7 linked regions of the Ovis aries genome follow. The protein of the gene in region 2 purifies or fractionates together with the protein of the main gene of each other region. This does not show direct contact. Links are inferred from orthologs where the notes say so. Each region holds a gene or a part of one and is shown on either strand. Other genes may lie near its edges.

What was found.
Region 1: the proteins of AAR2 (region 2) and ZNHIT2 purify together in Homo sapiens (affinity purification with mass spectrometry; 3 studies listed by BioGRID and IntAct, counting the BioPlex papers as one, with this or other methods). This does not show direct contact. The link is inferred for Ovis aries from reciprocal best matches to the Homo sapiens genes AAR2 and ZNHIT2.
Region 3: the proteins of AAR2 (region 2) and SNRNP200 purify together in Homo sapiens (affinity purification with mass spectrometry; 5 studies listed by BioGRID and IntAct, counting the BioPlex papers as one, with this or other methods). This does not show direct contact. The link is inferred for Ovis aries from reciprocal best matches to the Homo sapiens genes AAR2 and SNRNP200.
Region 4: the proteins of AAR2 (region 2) and PRPF6 purify together in Homo sapiens (affinity purification with mass spectrometry; 3 studies listed by BioGRID and IntAct, with this or other methods). This does not show direct contact. The link is inferred for Ovis aries from reciprocal best matches to the Homo sapiens genes AAR2 and PRPF6.
Region 5: the proteins of AAR2 (region 2) and EAPP purify together in Homo sapiens (affinity purification with mass spectrometry; 4 studies listed by BioGRID and IntAct, counting the BioPlex papers as one, with this or other methods). This does not show direct contact. The link is inferred for Ovis aries from reciprocal best matches to the Homo sapiens genes AAR2 and EAPP.
Region 6: the proteins of AAR2 (region 2) and TSSC4 purify together in Homo sapiens (affinity purification with mass spectrometry; 3 studies listed by BioGRID and IntAct, counting the BioPlex papers as one, with this or other methods). This does not show direct contact. The link is inferred for Ovis aries from reciprocal best matches to the Homo sapiens genes AAR2 and TSSC4.
Region 7: the proteins of AAR2 (region 2) and EFTUD2 purify together in Homo sapiens (affinity purification with mass spectrometry; 5 studies listed by BioGRID and IntAct, counting the BioPlex papers as one, with this or other methods). This does not show direct contact. The link is inferred for Ovis aries from reciprocal best matches to the Homo sapiens genes AAR2 and EFTUD2.

The regions. Positions count from the first base shown.
Region 1 is NC_056074.1:39,773,066-39,776,048, forward strand, and holds ZNHIT2 (zinc finger HIT domain-containing protein 2), read right to left. Parts: upstream 1,754-2,983; 5' UTR 1,735-1,753; coding exon 535-1,734; 3' UTR 501-534; downstream 1-500. Other genes in the region: delta(14)-sterol reductase TM7SF2, read left to right, coding at 1-99. UniProt on the Homo sapiens protein: May act as a bridging factor mediating the interaction between the R2TP/Prefoldin-like (R2TP/PFDL) complex and U5 small nuclear ribonucleoprotein (U5 snRNP).
Region 2 is NC_056066.1:65,348,252-65,352,231, forward strand, and holds the start of AAR2 (protein AAR2 homolog), read left to right. Parts: upstream 1-1,180; 5' UTR 1,181-1,402; intron 1,403-3,980. UniProt on the Homo sapiens protein: Component of the U5 snRNP complex that is required for spliceosome assembly and for pre-mRNA splicing.
Region 3 is NC_056056.1:104,085,737-104,089,236, forward strand, and holds part of SNRNP200 (U5 small nuclear ribonucleoprotein 200 kDa helicase), read left to right. Parts: intron 1-509; coding exon 510-618; intron 619-1,348; coding exon 1,349-1,457; intron 1,458-1,942; coding exon 1,943-2,132; intron 2,133-2,229; coding exon 2,230-2,394; intron 2,395-2,566; coding exon 2,567-2,688; intron 2,689-2,955; coding exon 2,956-3,099; intron 3,100-3,191; coding exon 3,192-3,368; intron 3,369-3,500. UniProt on the Homo sapiens protein: Catalyzes the ATP-dependent unwinding of U4/U6 RNA duplices, an essential step in the assembly of a catalytically active spliceosome. Plays a role in pre-mRNA splicing as a core component of precatalytic, catalytic and postcatalytic spliceosomal complexes.
Region 4 is NC_056066.1:53,537,657-53,540,114, reverse strand, and holds part of PRPF6 (pre-mRNA-processing factor 6), read left to right. Parts: intron 1-124; coding exon 125-258; intron 259-877; coding exon 878-969; intron 970-1,782; coding exon 1,783-1,897; intron 1,898-2,458. UniProt on the Homo sapiens protein: Involved in pre-mRNA splicing as component of the U4/U6-U5 tri-snRNP complex, one of the building blocks of the spliceosome.
Region 5 is NC_056071.1:42,708,480-42,712,684, reverse strand, and holds the start of EAPP (E2F-associated phosphoprotein), read left to right. Parts: upstream 1-1,405; 5' UTR 1,406-1,452; coding exon 1,453-1,550; intron 1,551-4,205. UniProt on the Homo sapiens protein: May play an important role in the fine-tuning of both major E2F1 activities, the regulation of the cell-cycle and the induction of apoptosis. Promotes S-phase entry, and inhibits p14(ARP) expression.
Region 6 is NC_056074.1:45,569,345-45,573,393, reverse strand, and holds the start of TSSC4 (U5 small nuclear ribonucleoprotein TSSC4), read left to right. Parts: upstream 1-1,249; 5' UTR 1,250-2,014; intron 2,015-3,553; 5' UTR 3,554-3,669; intron 3,670-3,814; 5' UTR 3,815-3,836; coding exon 3,837-4,049. UniProt on the Homo sapiens protein: Protein associated with the U5 snRNP, during its maturation and its post-splicing recycling and which is required for spliceosomal tri-snRNP complex assembly in the nucleus.
Region 7 is NC_056064.1:44,341,667-44,345,794, reverse strand, and holds the start of EFTUD2 (116 kDa U5 small nuclear ribonucleoprotein component), read left to right. Parts: upstream 1-1,328; 5' UTR 1,329-1,380; exon of another isoform or gene 1,381-2,427; intron 2,428-4,128. UniProt on the Homo sapiens protein: Required for pre-mRNA splicing as component of the spliceosome, including pre-catalytic, catalytic and post-catalytic spliceosomal complexes. Component of the U5 snRNP and the U4/U6-U5 tri-snRNP complex, a building block of the spliceosome.

The sequences.
Region 1 (2,983 bases), on a different chromosome or scaffold from region 2:
GAGGACCGGGATGAGCGGCAGTGTCTGCAGAAGTACGGCCTAGCCTGGCACGAATACTGCCAGCGTGTGCCCTACCGAATCGTGCCCTACGTCTACTGAAGCAGCTCCAGACACCCCAGGTTGGGGCACGTGCCTGCCCAGCTGCCAGCACACTGGGCACCAGGAGCCTGGACGCACCCGGGACACAAGGGCCTGTACCCTACCCTGCCCAGAGCTCCAAAACACTGGGATGAACGGCCTGATAAGTGGCTGGAGCAAGGGGGAAATGAAGCCAGTGCTCCAAAATGGAGTGGGTGTGTAGGGGGGGTGTGCTGCTCTTCCTCCTTAGATAAACAGCTGGAATCCTTGGTGCTGCTTCTCTCCCTTTCTGGGCCAGGCTGTTTAAAGACTGGCTGGGTCAGCCCCAGTCAAGGAGAAGCTGACAGGCAGTTTGTGGGCCCAAGAGTCTGGGGGACGGTGGCACAAGAACCACCACTCAGAAATGGGCACTGGCGACGGGGCAGAGCGGTCACAGCTTTATTAATGACAAAGGGTTCAGCCGGGGAGCTCCTCAATAAGAGTCCTCCGGGCAGGTGGCAGGGGGCCTCCCCAAAGCTGCTCCAGCTCCCCCGTGAGGGCTGCCACCTCCTCAGCTGCCACAGTGTGAGCTCGGTGGGCCGTGGCACAGTCTAGAGCCAGGGGTGTGAGGGCGTCCTCATTTTCGTTGGTCCAAGACAGAAGGAACTGGCATTTCTTTCGGGCCCGGTAGAGGCGATCTCCTTCTTCGGGGGCCACCGCTTGTTTCCGGGCCCGGCCCAGGGTTTGCGCCAGGTCCCCCAGCGCTGCCAGCGTGTAGCTTTTCTGGTTGGCCGGGCCCTCACCCAGCAGAATGCGGGCAGCCTCGCGCATGGCTCCCCGTGTGCCCAGAGGTCCGGGGGGATGCTCGCCTGCTTCCAGCACATGGGCTGCGGCCTGCAGGGCTTCCTCGGCAGAGGCGAAGACCTGCTGGGAGCCCAGGGCTCCGGAAACGCCGAGCAGTGTGGCACAGAAGTCCGAGAGCAGCGCCTCGTCGCCGCCGTGATACAAGGCCAGAGTGTGCGCGTAGGCAAATAGCACGTTGGGCAGCTGGAAGCGCACAAGCGGCGACGTCCGGCCCCTGCTCAGGCTGGCCAGCGCGGGGATCCGGGTGGGCACGGCGGGAGGGCAGGCCCCGGGGAGGTCTCCAAGAACCGGCTCGACAGCCGCGGGCTCATCCCTCACGGGTTCCGGCGGCATCCTCGCGGAGGAGGGCTCCAGTTCCTCGGCATCGCCGCTTGGGGCATCACCTAGCTCCTCCAGAAGCCGCGGCCCGGCCCCGCGACCCCACCACCATGGCCGCCACGGAGGCAACAGCCGCCCGGCCTCGCCTCGGCTCAGCAGCCGCTCGAAGGCCACCTTCTCGGCCGGGGCCAGCCGCTCCCAGAGTCCTGAGAGGCCGCCGGGCGCCGGGCCAGGCCTGAGGCCTGCGTCCCCGGGCTCATCCTCGGTCTCACGTTGCTGACGCAGCCGGCGCAGGGCGGTGGCCAGGCGGCTGGGCGAGGCGCTGCGACCGCGCAGTTCTCCCAGCACCTGGTCACGGTAGAACTCTTCGGCGCAGCTGCCATGCGCCCGGTAGCAGCGCAGCGAGCAGTAGGGCACGTTACAGCGAGGGCAAGTGTAGCGAGCCGGCTGGGCCTCCCCAGTGGGGCAGAAGCCACACGGCCCGGCCGGCTCCATGACAACTGGCGCAGCGCACAGCCAAAGAACTCACACGCGCCGCAGATCGGAAGTTTCCGGCGCTTCTCGGCTACTTCCGCCTCTTTGCGGGGCCGACGGAGAGCTTCGTCAAAGCCCTTCTCGGCAGTTTCCGGCCGCATTCGGAGCTCAAGCTACGCCCCCCACTTGACCCGAGATACGGCACAGGGGCCGTTCGTGAGGTAGCCCCGCCCTGAGCGGTGGGAGCGTAGGAAAAGGGCGTCTGCCGGGAGCTCGGTCGGTACCAGCCCGCCCCCTAGTGGTTGCTTTTAGCATCATAAAGCGCTTTGGCAAAACCCAATCTTTTATTTTTTTTTCCAAAACCCAATCTTGACTAAACTTGAAGGACAGGGAAGCCTGGTGTGCTGCTGTCCATGGAGTTGCAGAGCCGGACACGACTGACCGACTGAACTGACCTACTCTAGGCACTAACTGTGCCAAGTCGATGGGAGATTAGGCGTCCCTGCGCTGGAGGGGCGGCCATTCTACCAGGGAAGAATGGAAGGAGAGTGAAAGGAAGACCAGGGAGGGGTACTTAGCCTAGACAGGGTGTGTTGGGAGCATTTCCCCTCTTGAGGAAGCAACATTAAAATTTTTGAGCTCCTCCGACTTCCAAAGAAAATACACCGAAGAGCAAATGAGATGGGGTACCTGTCCTAATGGAACTAAGTTTGCGGTAGATTGGGGGTGATGACTCACCAACTGTGCCAAAAGCTATGAAGCCTCGATTTATGGCACTCCTGAAAGCTCTGGTTCCAAAGAAACCAAAGTGCCTCACCTTACTCATACTCAGTCCCACAACTAGTCAGTTCTACCTTTAAAATACCTTGTCTTTATCTCAATATGGATCATCTATTTTCCTACCAAGATCTGGATGGATTTGAAGAGTCTGCTCATTTTTGCATCCCCCCTTCCCAGGTGTCGCTGGAATTTTTCAGGCAAGAGTACTGGAGTGGGTTGCCATTTCTTTCTCCAGGGGATCTTCCCGACCCAGGGATTGAACATGGGTCTCCCGCATTGCGGGCAGATGCTTTACCGTCTGAGCCACCAGGGAAGTGGGTTCCCAGGTGTCACTAGTGGTAAAGAATCCACCTGCCAATGCAGGAGATGCAAGAGATGGGTTCAGTCCCTGGGTCAGGAAGATCCCCTGGAGGAGGAAATGGCAACCCACTCCAGTACTCTTGCCTGGAAAACTTATGGACAGAGGAGTCTGGCAGGCTACAGTCCATGG
Region 2 (3,980 bases):
TGGAACTGACATGACAGGCTGAGATTGACACGCGTGACTGTGACTGATAGAGGCCATCTCTGGCTAATCCTGGGGCAGCTCGTTGTGATCCACCGTGACTGCAGGGCCCAGTCTAGTCTGCAACCCACTAAGAGATGAATTTTGACTGAGACAGATGGGCATGTCCAGCTGTCACTGAGGAATTGTGACAGGCAAGCTAAAGAGCAGCAGCACAGAGACAAGAAGAGCCAGTCACCAATGAGACCTTGGTTTGCATTCTAGCCTGGCCTCTCTCTGGCTGTGCAACTGCTCGGAGCCTCAGTTTTCTCTTCTGCATGTTGGGAATACCGAGTCTGCTTACTAGGGTTAGTGCAAGGATTAGATATCATATACCCAAGGGGCCTGCCCTCTGGATTTTGAATTTCCTTAGGCAGCCCTCAGAATCACATAAGCCAGTTCCTTGTAATAAAGCTCTTAAATACCTCCCGCTGGCTCTGCTTCTTTGATTGAACCCTGAGTGATACAACCACCCAGCACAGAGCTAGGCTCCAAAATAGAAGTCACTAATTAATAAAGAATCACTGTCATTAATTAAATGCATAATATTTAATAATTGAACTGGGTCTTTGTGTGGATTCCAGAAAAACAGCAGAGAACAAGACAGGTTCCCTGCCTCAAGGTGCATATACAGCCTACCTAAGATTTCATACTAGGCCTGCACTGCCAGAAGATATCGGGTGTTTATGGCAGGAAGGATCACTGTGGTGACTGCGGCTGTTAGACTGGGTCTTTCTGGCCTGGGTTTCTGAAGCTCTCCCCTACAGCTGAGTATGGTTGGAAGCAAGACCAGGTGATAAAGGGCCAACTGTGACACTCACTCTGATTGAGATCGGCTGACCAGGACTATGACTGAGCCTCTGACTGTGGCTACTGGACAGCTAGGACCTTGACCAGAACCTCAGAGACCACGACTGATTGAAACCGAAAAGCCGTGACTTGCGGATGTGTTTCTGTACCTGGATATAAAATGCATCGTTTGATGAAAGTTATTATCCACGGGTTCAAGAACTAAATCCAGCAACTCAAAGTAGCCAAAGGCAATGTTCCATGGGGCGGAACCTGCTGGCACGGGCCGTTTCTTCCGCGACCCAGGGACCCGCCCGGCCCCTTTCCCCTGTTGTTCCCCTCCGGCGCTATAGAGGGAGAACTTCCGGTGCGCTTCTGCGATCCCTGGACCTGGGCGAGACACCAGTCGGTGAGTGCAGCCTCCTGTCCTCTTTCAACTGTTCTGCTTTCGTTGTCTGTGTGGTCCGGCCACCCTTCTTTCCGGCTGGGGATCGCGGAGGGCCTGAACTCGGGCACCGAGCTGGGACTGTGGCGTCCCGGTCTTGAGCCGGTGGTGGGACCGACCTGCCTCTTTCAGGTGGGTTACTCTTATTGCTCCCCTTGTAACCGTCAGATACGCCGTCGCCAGAACTTTGTGGGGGCACCTGGGAAACTTCTTTTTTCCTAACTTTAGAACTTATGGGCTCGGAGGCCTTGGCTCCGCCTGACGTGGTTCTGGTGTTCTCTATCTTCGGTAAGGTCTTTTCCACGAACCGAGCCTTTGTTTCTCATCTACAACATGGATATCGTGCTTTTATTAAAAACAGATGTTTAGCCAGCGTCTAATATGTGCTAGAGGTACGAAAGACCCGCATCTCCTAGAGGTGACAGCCCTCTATTAATATTTGCGAACTTGCAGTTGTGATCAGTGAAATGGAAAGATAAAAAGCACTTTGAGAGCACATCACAGGAGATCTGACTTAGCCCCAGGTCGAGGAAGCGTTGCTGAGAAGGTAAATATTAAGCAGAGATCAGAAAAATGGTTTGAGACAGAGAGGAGGGAAGAGTTTTCTATCAGGGGAGCCTCTGTTTGAGGGTCTGAAAGAGTCAGTGTGGCTGCAGCAGAGCTTGGGGAGGAAGCATGATATGAAACAAGCTGGAGGAGTTTCCATGGACCAGGCCATACAGCCCTTGTAGGTCGCAGTGGGAATTTTGGTTTGCCAAGAGCCACGTGAGAAGTCTCTCAGAGGATGTTAAGTATGGGTGGTGACATGCTTAGACTGGCGGTTTGAGAAGGTCACTCCTGCTTTTGGATGGAGAAGGGATTGCAGGGACAATCTGGCTGAGGGACATGGTAGCTTAGATTAAGGATGTGGTGGAGAGAAGTGGGTAGATGTGATTCTCTGTATCTCAAGGCATCTTCTTTGTGCCAGGTCATTTGCCAGCTGTGGAAGATATAGTGAAGAGAATTACAATCTGCTGGAAGTAGAAAGAAAGAAGTGGCATTATCAAAGAGGAGCACACAGATGCCACTGGGAAAATGGCTAATTGATGAGCAGTTATTCTAAATGCAATAGCTGTTCATTTAATAAATATATTAAGTGCCTTTTGAACTCAAGATTGGGGATAGTAAGATGATATAAATTATTTAGAGCAGTGGCTTTCAGACTTTTTGCACTGTGACCTACAGTAACGCATACATTTTACATGGTGACCAAGAGTCCATACAGACACACAAAGCTTCAGAAAACAGTACTTCGCTTTACTTCTTAGGATGTACTCTGATTTTTTAAAATTTTGCCCTTTTATTTAAAAAAAAACAACAAACAATGTTGGTTGAGATCCTCTAAGTTGATCTTTTAACCCATTATCAGATTGTGACTTGCAGTTTGAAAAAAAATGTTGATTTAGAGTCATAATCATTTGTGTGGGTTTTGGGTAAAGACAATAAAATATGTCCTTTCCATATTGGGAAAAGTGTTGGTCTTCCTTTCCTCATGGTATTGTTTTGTTTGTTTAAATAAAATGAGTAAAAGGAATTAAACAGGCAGCTGGTTCTTCTGTTTGTGAAGTTTTGTGGTCTTGTTGATATGTCTGGCTGGATTGGAAGTGCCTGGAAGGCAGTAACTGTCTTCTCCATGATTATTTCTGTTCGTGTCTGGCAAAAATCCTGCAGGCTCTCCAAGGTTATTTGTTGAATTGAATAGGTAGGTGTCTTGGGACTAGAGAGTTAGACGTGTTCTGTTAAAATTAGTTCATGTTGGACCCATCCTTATAAATACAGAGACTATGTCTGTTTACAGAAGTCTTATCAGTGTGTCCTCTTGGGTAGTTCAGAGGTAGATAAAAATAAATGTTCTAAGGTCTTGGTCTTCTAAATACTGATCCGAGGCCAGCCATGCCACCTGGATCCATTTGGGTGAGCAGTCCAGAGGTGCTACTGACTGTGGACCCTTTGGAAAGTTGTTTCACTCCCTGGACTTTAGACTTCTTTATATATATATATATATTTTATATGTATATTTGTATATATGCAGGAGAAGAGGGTTGTGGTTGAAAAGCTCTCCACTGCCCAAACCTTTTGTGAATTTTATTTATTTTATTTTATTTTACTTTATTTTACGTTACAATACTCTTGTGAATTTTAGATGCTAAGCACCCCGTTTCCACTTTCTGTCCATTTCTGGGCCTCCGCTGAGGCTTATGGGAAACTGGGTGGATGCTTCTCGAATCTTCTAAGTTTTAGACAGAATTATAGTTTAAGACAGTTTAGGCACACTAATCCTTTAGAGTGGACCAACCAGGCATTCTCCACCTTCATCTTCTGTTATGAGAAGGAGATCTGAAGAGTGCACAGATCTGAAGGAGCTTCGGAGTGCACAGTGGGAAGAACGCTGGCCTGGAGGGCAGGGTACCCGGGTTCTAACTGGGTCCTTGTGTGGTCTTGAACATGTCTCTTTTCTTTAACTGATGTCTTTCCAGCTGTGCAGTGAGTGTTCTTGCTCATTAAACTCAGAAACAAAAACTGTCTTCTCTTTGAGTGTCGTTTTCTTTACCTGTGATGAAAATTAAGGTAGAAAATTATGTCACTGGAAAAGATCCTGATGCTGGGAAAGATTGAAGTCAGAGGAGAAGGGGACGACAGAGGATGAGATGGTTGGATGGCATCACTGACT
Region 3 (3,500 bases), on a different chromosome or scaffold from region 2:
GGGGTGGCTGTGTGCTGGTGAGTCTCGTTGACGTTAGGCATTTCGTGCAGAGTAGTATTTTGACGGTGCTTAGGGAGCCGCAGTGGCAGTGCTCCTGCCAGAATCACTTGCTGTCACTCAGGCCTGAATCTGCCTCGTGTGGGGCACCCTCAGAGCTCGATCTGCTGCCATGGACTGGCCAGCCTGTGGCTGAGTTGGTGGAAGCATGTTCCAGTCGGCACAGCCTGCCTGTCAGGCAGGAGTGTGAGCCTGACTTTCTCTGGGCTTGGGGGTCTGTTCCAGGGTGACCTCGTCTCCTGCAGGGTAGCCCCCCAGCAGAGCAGCAGTGACAGGCAGACCCTCCTGTAGTACCGCGTTAGCCTCTTAGTCCTGAAACCTTATCCCTGCCCAGCGTTGCACTGAGTTCTGAAGTATAGAGCAGGGTGCGCCACTGCTTGCCCCAGAGGCAGCGGGTCCTGCCCCACTCGGGGGGCCCTGTGCTCAGTCTGCTCCTCCCCTCTGCCGCTCAGGGGCCATCCAGGTGGTGGTCGCTTCTCGGAGTCTCTGCTGGGGCATGAACGTGGCCGCCCACCTGGTGATCATCATGGACACCCAGTACTACAACGGCAAGATCCACGCGTGAGTCCAGTGTGCTGTGCGTTCACGGGCCCCTCTCTCCTAAGATGAGTGTAACCTCTGCAGATCCGGAAGGCCACTGTTGTGAAGAAAAGGTGTTAGGGAAATAAATAGCTAGCTGAGATTCCACCCCAGCCAGGGTTTTATTTGTGCAGACTTATTTCTGATGCTTGAAGCTGCTCCTAGGTTTGGATTTGAGTGGGGTGGGCTTGATCACTCATGAACCATATGGCTGTGAGGTCTGGGAGCCTGCCTGACATACGAAATGCTTTAACATGGAGTCATCTGGCTATCGCCGTTAGATGGGTTGGCTTCCCAGGTGGCGCAGTGGAGAACCCACCTGCCAATGCAGGAGACGCAGGTTCCATCCCGGGTCGGGAAGATCCCCTGGAAGAGGACATGTTGGCCCTCTCCAGTGTTCTTGCCTGGAAAATGTCATGGACAGAGGGGCCTGGCGGGCTGTAGTCCATGGGGTTGCAAGGAGGTGGACGTGAGGGAACAGACACACACACACATTAGATGGATTAACACCTTTGGTTCACAGACCCTGAGCAACAAAGTCCTGACTCTTAACACTTGAAAACTAAACTGGTCTGTAGATAACCTGTGACACTAGGGCCTGAGCACACTCACAGAGGTTTGCTGGGATTCTCCATGTCTCCCTGTATCTGCATTTTATTCTTCGACTTTCAGGGAGGCAGTGTCCTGAGTCCTCTTCTCCCTCTGTCTCCAGGTACGTAGATTACCCCATCTACGACGTTCTGCAGATGGTGGGCCACGCCAACCGCCCTCTGCAGGATGACGAGGGCCGCTGCGTCATCATGTGCCAGGGCTCCAAGAAGGTCAGCCCCGGCCTCTGGCGCGGGCTTCCGAGCCTGGGCCTCGGAACAGATTCTTTAATCTCTCTCTCCATAGGCGTCTTTACTTACTTCCTCATGTTCTCTCTGTCTTCTTTTCTTTCCACATTGCCTTTGTAACAAGCCTTTCCCTGTGTAGAATTTTGTAGCCTTTGATTTTTGTTGCTGCTGTTGACTCTGTGTATTGAGATCTTAACCCTCTGGCTGGGTCTGTCTTCCTCATGCCTTGCTCAGCCCTTGGGGCTCAGTGTACCTTCCTCCGTGGTAGAAATAACCAGTGATGCCGGGGGAACCGGCATACACACCCAGCTCTCCAGGTCCAGACCCAGCTCACCTTGTCTGTGCAGCTGGTCTCTTCCGTTTCGTACGAGCCGTGCCTGTTGCACGGCGGCCGTATTTGCCCTTGGCCTTTCTCTGACCGTACTGTCATTGACTGTGTGCTGTACCGTCATTGACATTTTTTCCCGTAGGATTTCTTCAAGAAGTTCTTGTATGAGCCTTTGCCGGTGGAGTCTCACCTGGACCACTGTATGCATGACCACTTCAATGCCGAGATCGTCACCAAGACCATTGAGAACAAGCAGGATGCTGTGGACTACCTCACCTGGACCTTCCTGTACCGCCGCATGACGCAGAACCCCAATTACTACAACCTGCAGGGTCGGTGGCGGCACTGCACGCATCATCCTCTGGTGGTTGGCACAGCCCTCATTCACCGTCTCCTCGGGACACCCCTGCTTACCTGTCACCTTCACAGGCATCTCCCATCGTCACCTGTCTGACCACTTGTCGGAGCTCGTGGAGCAGACCCTGAGTGACCTGGAGCAGTCCAAGTGCATCAGCGTCGAGGACGAGATGGATGTGGCGCCCCTGAACCTGGGCATGATCGCCGCCTACTATTACATCAATTACACCACCATCGGTGAGGGCCGGCAGGGCCTGCAGCCACGGGGACGACATGACGAGGCTTTCAGGGCCTCGTGTGCTTGTCAGAGGGACGCATTGCAGGGTGGAGCCGGGCTAGCCCAGCAGTTAACTCTGCTCCTCCTCTGCCTGCTTTGACTCCTCCAAATGTCCTTTCTTTCCTCTCTCAGAGCTCTTCAGTATGTCCCTGAACGCCAAGACCAAGGTGCGAGGGCTCATCGAGATCATCTCCAACGCGGCCGAGTATGAGAACATCCCCATCCGGCACCACGAGGACAACCTCCTGCGGCAGGTGAGCGCGTCTTGGCTTCTGGAGTGCGTCTTCCGAGCCGCGTGAAACTCGGCCCCCATACCCAGAGCACAGGATCCCGCTCTTGGGTCAGGAAAACTCCTACTCCCCTGCCCCGAGCTCCCTCACACACTCCACACACATCTCAACCCCCACCACCCACAGCCGTCGTCTCCTCCTTAGCGTGGAATGGTTGTGGGCCTGGGGCGGGTGGTGCTTTGGCCCTGAGTGCGGGTCTCTTCACCAACCGCTCTTTCTTCTGCTTTCCAGCTGGCCCAGAAGGTCCCCCACAAACTGAATAACCCTAAGTTCAACGACCCGCACGTCAAGACCAACCTGCTTCTGCAGGCTCACCTGTCCCGCATGCAGCTGAGTGCTGAGCTGCAGTCGGATACAGAGGAGATCCTCAGCAAGGTATGGAGGCAGGGCGCCGCGGGCATGGAGGCCTGGGCGGCCCATGCGGCAGCAGTGCCCACGCCTGCTCTTGCTCTCTGGGCCCTCTGCAGGCCATCCGGCTCATCCAGGCCTGTGTGGACGTCCTCTCCAGCAACGGGTGGCTCAGCCCGGCCCTGGCGGCCATGGAGCTGGCCCAGATGGCCACCCAAGCCATGTGGTCCAAGGACTCCTACCTGAAACAGCTGCCGCACTTCACCTCCGAGCACATCAAACGTTGCACAGACAAGGTGAGCTGGGCCTGCATCGCAGTGTTGGGTGGCCAAGTCTGGAGGCCAGGCATCCTGCACTGGGGTTGGTTGTGGGAGGGGAGGTGTCTCGTTTTGGCTTCTCTGAAGGTGTTACCCAAGAAGGCGCCAGGG
Region 4 (2,458 bases), about 12 Mb from region 2:
TAGTGACAGACCTGGGTGTGAAGTGGCTGGGTCTCTGAGGGCACATGTAATCCTGACTCAGCTTGAGGTGCCGACAGCATCACAGAGACCTGCTGAGTCTTCTCTCTTGTGTCTGTGGCTGCAGTTGAAGAAATGTCCCCACTCCACCCCACTGTGGCTCTTGCTTTCCCGGCTGGAGGAGAAGGTTGGGCAGTTGACCCGAGCTCGGGCCATTCTGGAGAAGTCTCGCCTGAAGAACCCAAAGAACCCCGGCCTGTGGTGAGTTCCCGTGCCCCCAGGAGCTGACTGCGCTCATACCAAGTCTGCGGTGCAGCACTTTCAGCTGAGGCTCCGTGGGAAGGTGCAGTCTGTGGGGAGTCCTGTTCCAGCTGTGAGAGTGTTCACACTAGCCTGAAGATAGTTGGACACAGTGTGGCTTGTGGTGGAATTGAGGGTGTCCAGGAACCAAGAGCTAATGAGGGGGCATTGGGGTGAATGATGCCAAGAAAGTGGACTCTACGGAAAAGGTAATATCTGAGAGGGGCCTTGAGGGATGAAAAGGAGTTTGCCAGATAAACATGGCATTCTGTCCATAGGAGGCTGTGCACACAGACTCCAGGTGTGGGGCTTCAGGGTGTCAGTGCCCTGAGGTGCCCCAGCAGCCACCAGCAGGCCTGTCTTTATCCTCCCATCTTCACTCGTACCTGGATGACCTCAGATTCCAGGTTTATGGCCGCCCATAGGCTTAAGGGTGGGGATCACCCACGTCTCCCTTCTCTGGTGGACGAGCTGCTGGGCAGCACAAACAACTCCAGCTACTGAGGCTCCTCAGGACCTTCTGCTCGTCATCAGGCTGCCAGTGGACAGTGCTCTACCCTGCCCGGGTTTCTCTCTACAGGCTGGAGTCTGTGCGGCTGGAGTACCGTGCGGGGCTGAAGAACATCGCCAGCACGCTCATGGCCAAGGCCCTGCAGGAGTGCCCCAACTCTGGTGAGCACCCACCCCAGGCTGTGGGCAGCAGGTGCCAGATTCAGGCACAAAAATTCTTCCATTATGCTTGGTCATTTAGATGATTGAACTCAAGTTTCAATGTGGGCAGTTGGACCGCATGTTCTGAGATGCTACCATTTCTGTTTCTTTTAGAAGTTAATTTTTTACTATTTTACCCCAAGTCTGTAAGTTAGTGCATGTGCAGTATAAATAAATTTGGAGTAAAAAAAGAGAACATGAAAATTGCTATGAGCCCAGTACTCGGAAATCACTGCTTTTAGCTTTTTTGTATTTTTACAATTTGTATTATTGCACAAAATCAAGTCATACTGTGTATTTTGTTTTGTCCCCTTTTTTTTTACAGTTGAAAATTCTGTGAGGATTTTTCATTATCACTGAATCCTTAACAATGAACAGTTTAGTGGCATCGTAGAATTTTCTGGGTTTATGTCAGGTATATGGCCTCAGGCCGATCTCTAGGCTGGTATCAATCCCAGGTTATCTTTCTGCATAAATCCTTGGTAGCACTTTTTGTTACTTTGTTACAGTGAATTCTCAGCTGTGAAGTTAGTCAGTGAGTATGAAACGTTGGAGGCTGTTAGGACTTCCAGCCTCCTCGCCCCCAGGATGATACCATGGCCTTGTCAGTGGGGCCCTGTGGCTCTGGGCCAGGGTGGAGGTTGGAGGGTATGGAGTAGGGGGGCGGCCTAGGCAGTGCGGCCACGCAGGAGGCACAGGTGGGGATATCCTGAGTCTTCAAAGGCCTCCCTGTGTATGATGGCTGAGATGGGCATCTGCATGTCTGGATTTCAGGGGTCCTGTGGTCTGAAGCCATCTTCCTGGAGGCGAGGCCCCAGCGGAAAACCAAGAGTGTGGATGCCCTGAAGAAGTGTGAGCATGACCCCCACGTGCTCCTGGCTGTGGCCAAGTGAGTAGGGGTCCTGGTGGCAATGCCAGTCCTCTTGCTGGGGTCTCCAGGTCCCCAGAACAAGGCAGTCTTCCCTGGTCATGACCCTTGGGAGGGCCCCTGACCTTCCTTCCCTTGTCCTGGTTCCTTCTCAGGTTTCTGCGCTCTCTGTCTCTGGCACTTTTCAGTTTATTCCAACATGGGTCTTGGGTTGCAGGACAGACAGGCCTGCTGACACTGGTCACATGGAATTTAGGTTACAAGTGAACCTTTTTTGGTTCAACAGCTGTAAGCAAGACAGTTGTTTCCATTGTGTTAATGCCAAAAGCCAGACTGTTTGACCTGTGTAACCCTGGGAACAATCTAGGGCCCATTGGTCAGGCTCTTGGTGTGCCTGGGGGTGTAGAGGCCACCTGTCCTTCAGGGTGTTTCCCTCAAGGACAAGAGGAGGTGGGCAGGCGACCCCCCACTGTCAGCTTGTGCAGGGTACTGGGCCCGGGGCTCCCTGGGGAGGCACGGAGGGCCTTCAGAACCTCCTGAACCTTCTCTGTTCCCTTCTCAAAGGAGGACAGTGGCCTGAGA
Region 5 (4,205 bases), on a different chromosome or scaffold from region 2:
AGCATAAATTCTTCAGCACTCAGCTTTCTTTATGGTTCAACTCTCACATCCATACATGACAACTGGAAAAACCACAGCTTTGACTAGACAGCCCTTTGTCAGCAAAGGAGGGACAAAGGAGTCCAATCGATTCCAAGATTCTCAGTCTATGGCAACTCTAAGGATGTCAGGAAGTGGTAAGAGCAGAAACTGAGTCAAAAGTAGCTTTGGCTGAGGCATAGAAATGGGGTGAAAGATGCTGTGCCGCTCTGGTGCTACATTGATTGAATTGCAGCAGGCGGAGGTATCTAGCCAAGCAAGAGGAAATCCGACAAAGTATCAGAGGAAAGGGCAAGGATTAAATAAGACAGAGTAGTCATCTGAATTGGGTCATTAAGAGGGGTCACTTGTCCCTAAAGCGGCAGACGCTTGAGTATAGGCTGGTAGAGAAACAGAAGAAACTGTCTCTCAGTCAAGACGCCGTCATCTATCTCATCTGGCATATCCAGCGGATGTAAGGTAAGGGCCGAGAAAAGGTCGGGACTAAGAAGAGGTCAAGATAGGCAAATTAGGAAGTAAGTAATGGCAGGTTGGTGCTTTTGAACTGTGGTGTTGGAGTAGATTCTTGAGAGTCCTTTGGACTGCAAGGAGATCCAACCAGTCCATCCTAAAGCAGATCAGACCTGGGTGTTCATTGGAAGGACTGATGCTGAAGCTGAAACTCCAATACTTTGGCCACCTCATGCGAAGAGTTGACTCATTGGAAAAGACCCTGATGCTGGAAGGGATTGGGGGCAGAGGAGAAGGGGATAACAGAGGGTGAGATGGCTGGGTGGCATCACCGACTCGATGGACATGGGTTTGGGTAAACTCCGGGAGTTGGTGATGGACAGGGAGGCCTGGCGTGCTGTGGTTCATGGGGTCGCAAAGAGTCGGACACGACTCAGCGACTGAACTGAACTGAATTGAATGACAGCTTAGCAACTTTTTGGAAGACAGACGAGGGCGAAGTCAGACTGAGAAGGGAGAACTGTGAAAGCAATGCAGTAGCGCGAGAAAAAAAGGTAGAAGGGTTTCAGGCGACGAGGCTGGAGGGACGTTGAATGCTAGTGTCTGGAGACCTACTGGCCCTGATCTAAGGCTACACGTCCCTCAGCACATAGATTTCTGGTTTTTCACGTCACAACGTGAAACACGGCACGTGGAGTGTTCATCCCACATACTGCCACTTATGAGGGTGCTCACTGCAACTTCCAGTAATAAGGTAGCGGCTTCGTATGTTTCCGAATAGGAACTTATTCCTGTTGCGAAGGGGAGCAGCAGGTCTTCCGGACCCGCCTGCAGTACCAGCCCTTCGCTGGGAATATCCGCGCAGGCGCGCATAAAGGACTCGGAAGTGCGGGCGGAAGTTGGGCCGGAGCACTTTAGGGAAGGGACCTGCGGAGTAAACAGTCGTTCGGCAGACGCCTGTGGATGGTATCGGAGGGGCCGGCCACTATGAACCGCCTCCAAGACGACTATGATCCGTACGCAGTTGAGGAGCCTAGCGACGAGGAGCCGGCTTTGAGCAGGTGGGCCCCTGCCCCGCGCCGTCCCCCTGCCACTCTCCGGCCCTCGAGGCTTCGGACCAAGGTAGACAGCCTCCCGACTCGCTGCGCTTGCCGGGCCCGTGCGGATACTCCGGCCAGCGGTTCGGGACCCTGTCGCACCCCACTGTCGTCTGTGGACTCCGCTGGGGGTTCTGGTGAGGTCTTGCAGTCACGGGGGAGGCAGGATCGAAATTGGCGCAGGGGAGGGCCATAGTCCATATTCTGGAATTACGCGTAAGAATCAAAAACTGTGAGGTCGAATCCTGCTTCTGCAGCTTAGCAGTACTGTGACTGAGGTCAAGTCCCTCGTTTATAGAAAGGAAGTATAGTAAGCATATCGCGAGTTTGTTGTGAGGCACTTGGGACTTACTGTGAATTGAACATCATTAAGATTAAACTGCCATAAACAGAAATTAGGGGATAATTAACTTTTTTTTTTTTTTTTGAGCATCTGTTGTATGCTTGCTGTGGGCTACAGAGATCAGACATAAGATTTTTGTCTTTGACAGGTTTAACGGTAAAGTAGGGGACATAAGATAGATATGTATCTTGCGAGATATATGTCTTGGAAATAAAAGTGTATTGCAGAAGAGCGCTGTAGAAAAAGATGACCTGGGATAGTTACAGATGAAGTTCCACGGGAATTTCCAGAAGAAAGGGATTTATCCTACCTGGGGGAAACTCGCAATTATGTTGACTAGAGATTTCCAGGCAAGTTTAGCCATTTTAAAATCTGTCAGCAGATCCTGTTCATAAACTTTAAAACATTCTGTCCGACTAGTTTTCTGTGAAACTGTTTTTCTCTTAATCACAGTGCTTCCTCATACTATCCTGGGGAGGGGTTATAGGATGGGAGATCAGACTGCTGTGAAGATTTCTGTTGTGGGAAGTGAGGGTGGATTCCAGGATTCCCTTATGAAGAGTTTCACTTAGGGGCCCAGTCTGTGAAAGTAGGTCTCAATTAGTAATTCAGTTTGATTGGTTTCAGTGTTTCCTGAACTTGAGTTATTCTTCCATTATCATCCCCGTATTCACCCTCGTTATTATTTATTTAATATTTTTCTTTAAGTCAGTTTACATTTTTGTAGTTAAATGCCTTCTCTCTCTTTTTTTTTTTTTTGCTCATAGTTTGTGGGATCTTAGTTCCCTAACTGGGGATCGAACCTGGGCCCCCAGCAGTGGAAGCACAGTCCTAACCACTGGATCACCAGGGAATTCCCATGTAGTTAAATATTTGTAAGGAGACTTTATATTCCTGTGATAGTTGCCACTGGTAAGGTAACTGTAAATATAAATACTTTGAAAACAAAACAGTGTTATTAGGTGGTATTGCCTGCTGAATCCAATGCTTGTTTTGGAAAGGGAAATTGTGTTAGAGAGGTGTTTAAGAGGTGTCTGTCAGGATTTGATTTTACTCTTTCTAGAAGTGACTCCTTTATCGCCTGTTACCGTTTCATGGAAGCTGGCAGAACACATGAATCTCCTGAGTGAGAGGCACCTCATAGTAGAGCAGGCAGTCTGAGCACCCCGTTTGTGTTGGTTGCTCTTGTTTCCAACTCCTATCTATAGAGTTACATGGAGAGGCCCAGATGGCTGCTACATGTTCAGTGGGTTGGTATCATAGCTGAGGACCACTTGGGCTTGGAGAATGCACCTTTTATAGCAGGCAGTAAATATGCCGCTAGATGCCAGTAACCCCTCCTCCCACGTCATGTCCCAGTTGTGACAATCAAAAATATCTCTAGCTATGCCAGATGTTCCCTAGGAGGCAAAATTGCCCCCAGTTGAAGAGTACTGTGATAGTTCAAGGGTAATAGTGAAAGATAAGCCTGAAAAGATAAGTTGAAACCAGATTGTGGAAGATTCTTTTGAATGCTGTACTCAGAGTTTTGGTCATGGATGACTTTCTTTTGGATTTGGGTAGTGATGTGATAAGCGTTCTTTAGGAATAATATGCTGGCATCAGGGTTCAGGGTGGAAGGAAGCAGAAGAGTTTTGAGACCTGGTGATCCTTAAGCCTTGATGGTACAGGCAGAGATAAGAGAACCTGAGTGAATATAGAGGTGATGGAGAAAGGGAGCGTGCTGGTCAGGATGGGGAATTTTCTTGGGAGTAAAATCTGGATAAGGCCTCTGTCATTAGCAAAATTGATTGGCATGAGTTGTATTATTCTTATTTACCTTCTTCTGGTGTGTTAATAGAAGAGAAAAATAGTGAAGCAAAACCCATGAATAGTCTGTAACAGTTCATCAGACCATGAATAATTGAACATTATATATGTACTATTGACTATTAGAAATGTCTTAGGCATTTCATCTTGATAACATTTCATTTCTTCTGATACCTGGTTTAATTCCATACTGCTGTTGATGGGGAAACCCAGGCACAAAAGGCCAAATTGGCATAAATTGCTCAGGAGAATTTGGAATATATTTTAGGTCTCTCTCTCTCTCTTTTTATAGTTCTCTGTAGCACTGTGCCTTTTAAACTGTGATATTTACTGTCTGTTAACACTTTGCGGGGATATATTAGCTGTCTGTTACATATGTTAAGTTTTATTTAAGTGTCCAGACTTTAAAACAAACGCCCAGTAAAATTTTCATTGCTGATGGAATTACAAATTGGTGCAATACACTT
Region 6 (4,049 bases), on a different chromosome or scaffold from region 2:
CAGGAGACCTGGGTTCAATCCCTGGGTTGGGAAGATACCCTGGAGATGGGAAGGGCTACCCATCCCAGTATTCTGGTCTGGAGAATTCCATGGACTGTATAGTCCACAGTGTCAGACTTTATTTTTTGGGGCTCCAAAATCACTGCAGATGGTGACTGCAGCCATGAAATTAAAAGACGCTTACTCCTTGGAAGAAAAGTTATGACCAACCTAGATAGCATATTCAAAAGCAGAGACATTACCTTGCCGACTAAGGTCCGTCTAGTCAAGGCTATGGTTTTTCCTGTGGTCATGTATGGATGTGAGAGTTGGACTGTGAGGAAGGCTGAGTGCTGAAGAATTGATGCTTTTGAACTGTGGTGTTGGAGAAGACTCTTGGGAGTCCCTTGGACTGCAAGGAGATCAGCCCTGGGATTTCTTTGGAAGGAATGATGCTAAAGCTGCAACTCCAGTACTCTGGCCACCTCATGCGAAGAGTTGACTCATTGGAAAAGACTCTGATGCTGGGAGAGATTGGGGGCAGGAGGAGAAGGGGACGACCGAGGATGAGATGGCTGGATGGCATCAGTGACTCGATGGACGTGAGTCTGAGTGCACTCCGGGAGATGGTGATGGACAGGGAGGCCTGGCGTGCTGCGATTCATGGGGTCGCAAAGAGTCGGACACGACTGAGCGACTGAACTGAATAGTCCACAGGGTCGCAAAGTCGGACACGACTGGGAGACTTTCACTTTCGGAGCAGAAATGACCAGTCACGATCGGCAGGCGAGGCCGGGGCGCCTCCCTCAGGAGGCTTGCCACGCGGCGGCCTGCCCGAGTCGTCCAGTGGGCGGGACAAATGTACACCGCGGGACACGCCCCGCGGCCCGGTTCCAGGGACCCGAAAGAGCAGGGACGGCTGCTCCGGAACAGCACCGGAAGTGCCTGGGAACCGCGCGGGATGCGTTGACGCACTTCCGGTTCTCGCAGCTTCCGGCAAAGTGGGCTACAGTACCAGGAACGAGGCTCTGGCCGTTAGCCCTGGAGCATTCTGGGAGTCGCAGCCCTGCCTCCTCACCCAGACTCCCTTCCTGAGTCAATTCCGGTCTCTTCGCGAAGGAGCGCCACGGTTTCCTGTAGGGAAGGCAGCGCATGCGCAAAGTCATCACTCCCGATAGGCCTCAGGCGTGGGAGCCAGGGGCCTTGTGGGAGATGTAGTTCTTCAGGCGCGGGAGAAGCGGCCATCGGCCAGCGGGGGACTCGGTTTCCCACGAGGCTGAGCGCGGCTCAAGATGGAGGCAGCCAGGCCGAAGTGAGCCGGTAGGTTTTTGGTGGGAGGGCCGCGCTGCTGACCCGTCCGGCTTCAGCGGGCCACTGTCCGTAGTCTGCTGCCCCAACCAGGGAGACCCTCGTGAGGCCCGCACCCTTGGCCCGCCCCCGCCCGACTTGGCCGCAGGACTCAGGCAGCTGACAACGAGCGCCTGCTGGGCACGCGCCGAGATTCTGGGCGCGTGGAGTGGAGAAAATCAAGGCTCTGCCTCCTAGGGGAGAGAGACAACCCTCAAGGAAGCCAGCGCTCCCTGGGACCTGGCCAGCCCCGACCCCGGCCCTGAGAAAACCGCGCCTCCGTCAGCCTGGACTCGGCTCTGCCCTCCAGTGAGCTCAGGAAGTTCTCAGAGAACTCAAGAGACGCAGACCTGGCATGCTCGATCTTGGGGCGCGATTCCTGGCTCCCCTCGGAGTGTCCCACTGATCACGGGCGTCCAGGGGACGGGAGTGCAAATTTAGGAAGCCGGAGGCTGGTCGAAGCTCCAGCTTTGCCTCCAGTGTACGGAATGACGGGCCAATTATCTCCCCACTCCTGTCCTGCCAGCCCTAAAACAGACACCGTTGGCGTTTACTTCGTGTCCCCTTTCCTGGAGTTGTTCCTGCATTTGGGGAGTCATGCAAGGCCCAGAGGAATGGAGATCTCGCCTGCGTTTGACCTGGAGCAGGGCACTCGGAGCCACTCCTGGTCCAACTGGCCTGGTCTTTGGTGGGTGCAGGAGCAACAGAGTCACCCTTGGCAAGCAAGGGAGGCCTGGTGGGAAGAGGAAGTTGGTGGAGGCTGAGGCCTGTCCTCTGAGCCTGGAAACAAGTTTCAGGGTGCTTGGTGACACTGGAATGCTAACCAGGTGTTGGCAGGACTTCTGTGCTCCACTGGGAAAGTGAAGGGTGTGTGGAGGATCACAGATGTCGCTGGAGGTTGCCTCAGGAGCTGTGGGGCCGGCCTCTGCCAAGCAAGGCTGAGCCAGCTTCCTGAGAGCCTGACCCTCAGATGTCAAGGACCTGGCTGCAGTCCCTTCTGGAGCTGCCAGGGCATCTCTGCACTCAGGAGCACACCTCCTCCCCACAGAGCCGGCAGGTGCCTCCGGCTTTGTGGAGTACTTCCTGCCTGCCCTGCTCCCAGGCAGCATCCCGCAGCAAGCTCTAAAATTCTTTATTGCAGTTGTTAGCACAGTGAATAAACGTACTCCTCATCCACACAGCAAATGTTTGTGAAGTCTGACTGAGTCAGTTCGAGCTGTTCAGTGAGCCAGTCTGCAGTTCCCGCCATGACTGTCAGCTGTTTTCCGTCCCTCTGAGCACTCACTGACCTGAAAACGTAATAAGCTATCACGTGGAACCACCACAGGACGTGTCAGTTACCACGATTAGACTAGTGACTGATACAGTGTCGATTCTGTAATTTCACTTTTTGAAAAGAGTGATCACCCTTCATGACTCCTTGTAATCCATTAGAAAGTAATTGAATATGCTAGTGTGTGGAAACACTGGCGCTGTGTCAAAACGAAACAGTGACAGTCTTTCTCCGAAGTGAAAAATTACTCAGTTAATGGCCGGAATACCCTCAGTTTCCATTTTGTTTTAATGTTTCACCCCTGCAGCTGCTAGCCAGTGTGAGGAGGGTGATGCCTGCTTTAGCACAAAATTACATGCTCTGCATGTCACTCATTCATTCCTTATTTACCGGAGAAGGCAAGGGCACCCCACTCCAGTACTCGTGCCTGGAAAATCCCATGGACGGAGGAGCCTGCTGCTGCTGCTGCTGCTGCTGCTAAGTCGCTTCAGTCGTGTCCGACTCTGTGCGACCCCATAGACGGCAGCCCACCAGGCTCCTCCGTCCATGGGATTCTCCAGGCAAGAGTACTGGAGTGTGGTGCCCTTGCCTTCTCCGGACAGAGGAGCCTGGCAGGCTACAATCCAAAAGGCCACAAAGAGTCGGATGCAACTGAGCTGAGCGTACTGCCTGCCACTACCACACGTGGCCGACAGAGGGAGCGCGAGGATTGCTGGTGACCCTGGGTTGACACCCCGGCCGGCTGCTCTACCAGACCACCCCGTGCGGGTCCCCTAGTGGCTCTAGTCAACCCTGCCTGGCGAGGACTGAGGGAGGTGACAAGTCAAAAGGACCAGCTCCTGGGCCTGGCTGTTTTGGGGGCTTTGTAAACCCAGGCCCACTCCGGGGATGTTGGCACCACTTCCATTTGTCCGCCATCTGGTCTGATGGCTGGCTGTCCCTCCCTGCCCTTAGCCAGTCACCGAGCCGCTGAGCAGAGCCGTACCAGGGGGCCTTTGCCACCAAGAACCTTCGTCAGCATTCAACCCACCTGCCCTCCAGCATCCAGCAGGCGCCCATCAGACGGGGAGGTAAGAGGAGGGCTTATGGTCGGTGTGGCGGGGGTGGGGATGGGGGCTGGCCCTTCCTCCTGGGACACTGCTCTTCCTGCTGATCCTGCCTGGGGTGGTGGGTGTGAGCTTGTGTCCGGGGACTCCCGGGGCTGTTTTGGTGCAGGTGTGGCGTGGTCTGGGGACACATGGCAGAGGCAGGGGACAGCCGACACTTCCCTGACTCGGAGGCCGACACCCTGCCTCCGGACACTGGCTCCCTCAGCGACTCGGACTCTGACCTTAGTTTGCCTGATGGCGCTGGGGCGGCTGCCCTGTCCCTGGGGGGGCTGCCTGGGGAGGTGTCCGGGGATTCGGGCCCCGATGAGCCCCCCTCGCCCCCCAGAGGCCTCCTCACAGAG
Region 7 (4,128 bases), on a different chromosome or scaffold from region 2:
GGGTTTGGGTGGACTCCGGGAGTTGGTGATGGACAGGGAGGCCTGATGTGCTGCGCTTCGTGGGGTCGCAAAGAGTTGGACACGACTGAGCGACTGCACTGAACTGAACAGAAGGCGGCTCTGTCCATGAAATTCTCCAGGCAAGAATACTGGAGTGGGTTGCCATTCCCTTCTCCAGTGTTATATTCCCGATCCAGGGATCCAACCCGGGTCTCCCACACTGCAGGCAGATTCTTTATGATCTGAGCCACCAGGGAAGCACCCATACTTAAATGTCTTATAAGGAGAAAAGATACTTTCCACCCGAAACCAGATGCAATGACTGAGCAGGAAATCAAGTGGACGCGACAGAGGAAGGGGCTTAATGATCCCCGTTCTCAAACCCCTCTGTCCAGCCCAAGGCTGGAGCATAAATCTCTAGGTACTTGGGCAACCTCTTTAGTTCTGTCTCTGTACTTCTGCAACTTCCGGGTGTCTGAGGCTGACTGATTCGTTCTATAGAGATCACCTATACGAGTTTTAATCTTGGATCCGCATTTACTGCTGTGAGACCTTTCTGAACCTTACTACTACTGCTCCGAGCTATTTGCTAAAGATCACTTGGCGAAGTCATCCCCACCAAGCTCCTCAGTCCCTGGGATCTCCCAGGCAAAAATACTGGAGTGGGTTGCCATTTCCTCCTCCAGGGCATCTTCCTGGCCCAGGTCTCCAGCACTGCAGGCAGATTCTTTACCGTCTGAGCCACCAGGCAAGCCCCAACACGGAAGCAGGAGGCCTAAAACCAACCCTCCACCCTAACATGGGTAAGCGAAAGACCAAGAAGTAGGGTGGGCTGGCCAGGAACTGAACTCAGGTGTCCTGACTCCTGCCTAGTTCTAAGCCTTTCCCAGTCACTGAAAATCTAGAACATCTAATCCTCCTGCCCCCTGACCTTCACCCCAGCAGCCGGGGCCTCGGTTTCCTTTCTTTCTTTGGGGATGCCCAGACACTGCCCGACGAAGTCAGCTCAGCGTAGACCACGCCCAGCAGCTGTGGTTGCCCAGCAACTGCTACAACAGCCTCCCACGTGATCGCCCCGAAGGCCCCCAGTCAGGGTGGCCCCGAGGCGCCTGATCAGATTCACGCCTCCTCAGGCCTCGCTTTCTCTGGAGCAGCCCACGCCGTGGTTTGGGGACCCACAGTTCCTCTTCTCAGGTTCCGGTGTCCGCAGCCGGGATTCCTCCGAGCTGGTCCACAGGCAGAGGGCTGCCCTCCCGGGAAGAAACGCAACCGCGGCGCCTGTGGGGTCCTTCCGAACGGCGGGCGCAGGCGGTGAGGCGGCGTGGGGCGGAAGCACGATCTCCAGCGGCCGACTGGGAGTTTTTGGCTGAGCAGCGGGAGGTGAGTGGCGCTGGTCAGCGTCAGGGGAGGCTTGCTCTGGTGGAATGGGAAATTAGTCAGATTTGGAAGAGATGCTATGTGTTATATGCCACTTTCACTTTACAGATGGGTAAATTGAGGCGTGGAGTAGGATAGAGAATGAAAGCCCCCCCACCCCCCAACCGATTCCTGGGTTCCCTGCGTGTCGTCCGTCTATAAAACCCTTTCCCTGGGCAGGGGTCGTTCTTGCAGTGTCTATTCCCCTATCTTACTCTCTCTTCCAACTGTGCCGCCTTCACTTCTCTATCAAGCTCCCTCCGTCGTTACTCTATGTTCCTTTGAGAGCCTGCATTGTAGCGGGAAGCTGCAGTGAAGTTTGGTACCGAAATTCACTAGTTTTGTGCAACTGTGGGCAGGTCAGCTGTCTTCTCTGTGCCTTGTTGGGGCCATACATTTCGTCATTCAGTAAGTGGTTCTGTTTTGTGGCAGGCACCCTTTTAAGTGAAAACAAAAACAGTCCTTGCTTAAACTGTAGTTGGAGAGGTGACGGTAAATACACGAAGATACTTGTCAGCTAATGATAAATGTTAATAAAAATAATAAAACATTGAAAATAGGGGTTGGAGAATGTGTGTGTGGGGGGGGGGAGTTTTTTAGAGTGACAAGGGAAGGTTTCTCAGAGAAGGTGCTGTTTTAGTAGAGACCTGAGTGAGATGAAGGAACAAGGTATATATGCCCAAGGGAAGAGCATTTTGGAAGAGAAGAGTAAGTGCAGTGGCCCTGAAGCAGAAATGACTTGGATTATTTCATGAACAGCCTTGTATAGAAATTTCTGCAGTCATTTCATGGGTGTCTTGGGAGAATGAAATGTGCACAGAGATGATAGCTCTTTGGAAATAAAAAGAATATGCATATGAAAGTTTCTGTGATAAATCACATTTACTTATTAGTAGTGGAGCTCTTAATTCTCTATTTTATCCACAGTCAGCACTCCACAAGGGGCACTGAAGGAGGTGGAGGGATTACCGTTGTGGAAGAAATACCAGTATCTCAAAATTGAACCTTCTGGTCAGTTAACATTTATCTAGTGCCTACTCATGTGAAGTGGTGTCTTGGGCATTGGCACATGGGCACAAGGAGCACAGGGTTCCTGTATTCAAGAATGGCCAAAAAAGTTTTTTAACTAAAAAATACAAATAAAACAGACAAAAGAATGGCTAAAAAATAATGCCAGTTAACATTGATTGATCCTGGAATCATGATGAATTCTTTACACAGCCTATTTTTTTTAATTCTCATAATGCTTTATGTGGTGAAAATTAATCACTTTATTTTCCAATTGAAGAAACAGGCTTGGAGAGGTGAAGGGCTTACTGAAAGTGACATAGTTATTAAGTGACAAAGTTTGGATTCAAATCTAGGTCTGCCAGTTCCAGAGCCCTGACCAGTAACCCATGCTCTGGTCTGTTGTCTATTACTTGTAAGCTGTAGAGTTGTTGTTGAGGGTAGTTAATGCAGTTAACTACCGTTGATGACAGAAGTAAATGCTGATAAAGACACAAAAGGCTGTGGCATCATAGGTGAGTGAGAAATTGAGGCTCAAGGAAGACTTGAAGGAAATGGTCTTTGAACAGTTATTTTGAATAGAATTTCAATACTTGAAGTGGAGACAGCCCACGAAATATTTATGAACTGCGGAGAGAAAACAAGTAACTTTATACAGTGGAAAAGCCTGGTAGACACCACCACAATCAAGTGGTTACGTTAACATCACCACTGATGGGAGAAATTAAAATCATATGCCACTTGTTAGGAGTTGCACCGAAAAGAGCACAGCCTCACTACTGTGATAGTCTTACCAAAAAAAAAAAGCATAACTTGACTCTAATCATGAGGAAACATCAGACAAACTTAAATTCAGGAACATTCTACAAACTCACTAGCCTGTAATCTTCAAAAGCGTCAAGTCACAGAAATCAAGGAAAGGCCAAGGATTGTTCCAGATTGAAAGAGACTGAAGACATGATAGCCAGGTGCAAACATGGAATCCTCTGCTGTGCAGGACATTAGTGGAACAATTTCTGAAACTTGTATGGGGGCCTGTGGATTAGGTGTAGTGATGTGTCAGTATTTTCTGATTTTGATGGTTGTATTGTGGTTATGCAGAAGAATGTCCTTGTTTGTAGGAATCATGTGCGCTAAGAACAGGGGTTGGCAAACTTTGTCTATTAAGGGCCAGATAGTAAGTATTTTAGGCTCTGTGGCCATATAGTCTCAGAGGCAGCTACTCAGCTGTTACAGGCTGAAAGCAGTCACAGACGGTATAAAGAAAGGGGCATGGCTGTGTTCTAGTAAAGCTGTTTTCATAGACACTGAAATTTGAATTTCATAGAACTAATTGTCATGTATCATGAAACACTCGTCCTTTGACTTTTTTTTCCAACTGTTTAAAAATATTTTAAAAATCATACCTTCCAGGCCGTTATGAGAACAGCCAGATTTGGCCACAGGCTATAGTTTACCAACTTCTGCACTAAAGTCTGAGGAGGTGATGAGACATTGTGTCAGCAACTTATTCTCAAATAACTTAGGAAAAAGTGATGTGCACTGTTTTTGCAACTTCCTGTATTTAATTATTTTAAAATTAAAATTCTTTTAGTATTAAAAAAACAAACAAACAAGTGGGCTGGGACTTCCCTGGCAGTCCAGTGGTAGGACTCCATGCTTCTACTGCAGGGGGCATGGGTTCAAGCCCTGGTGGAGGGGAGG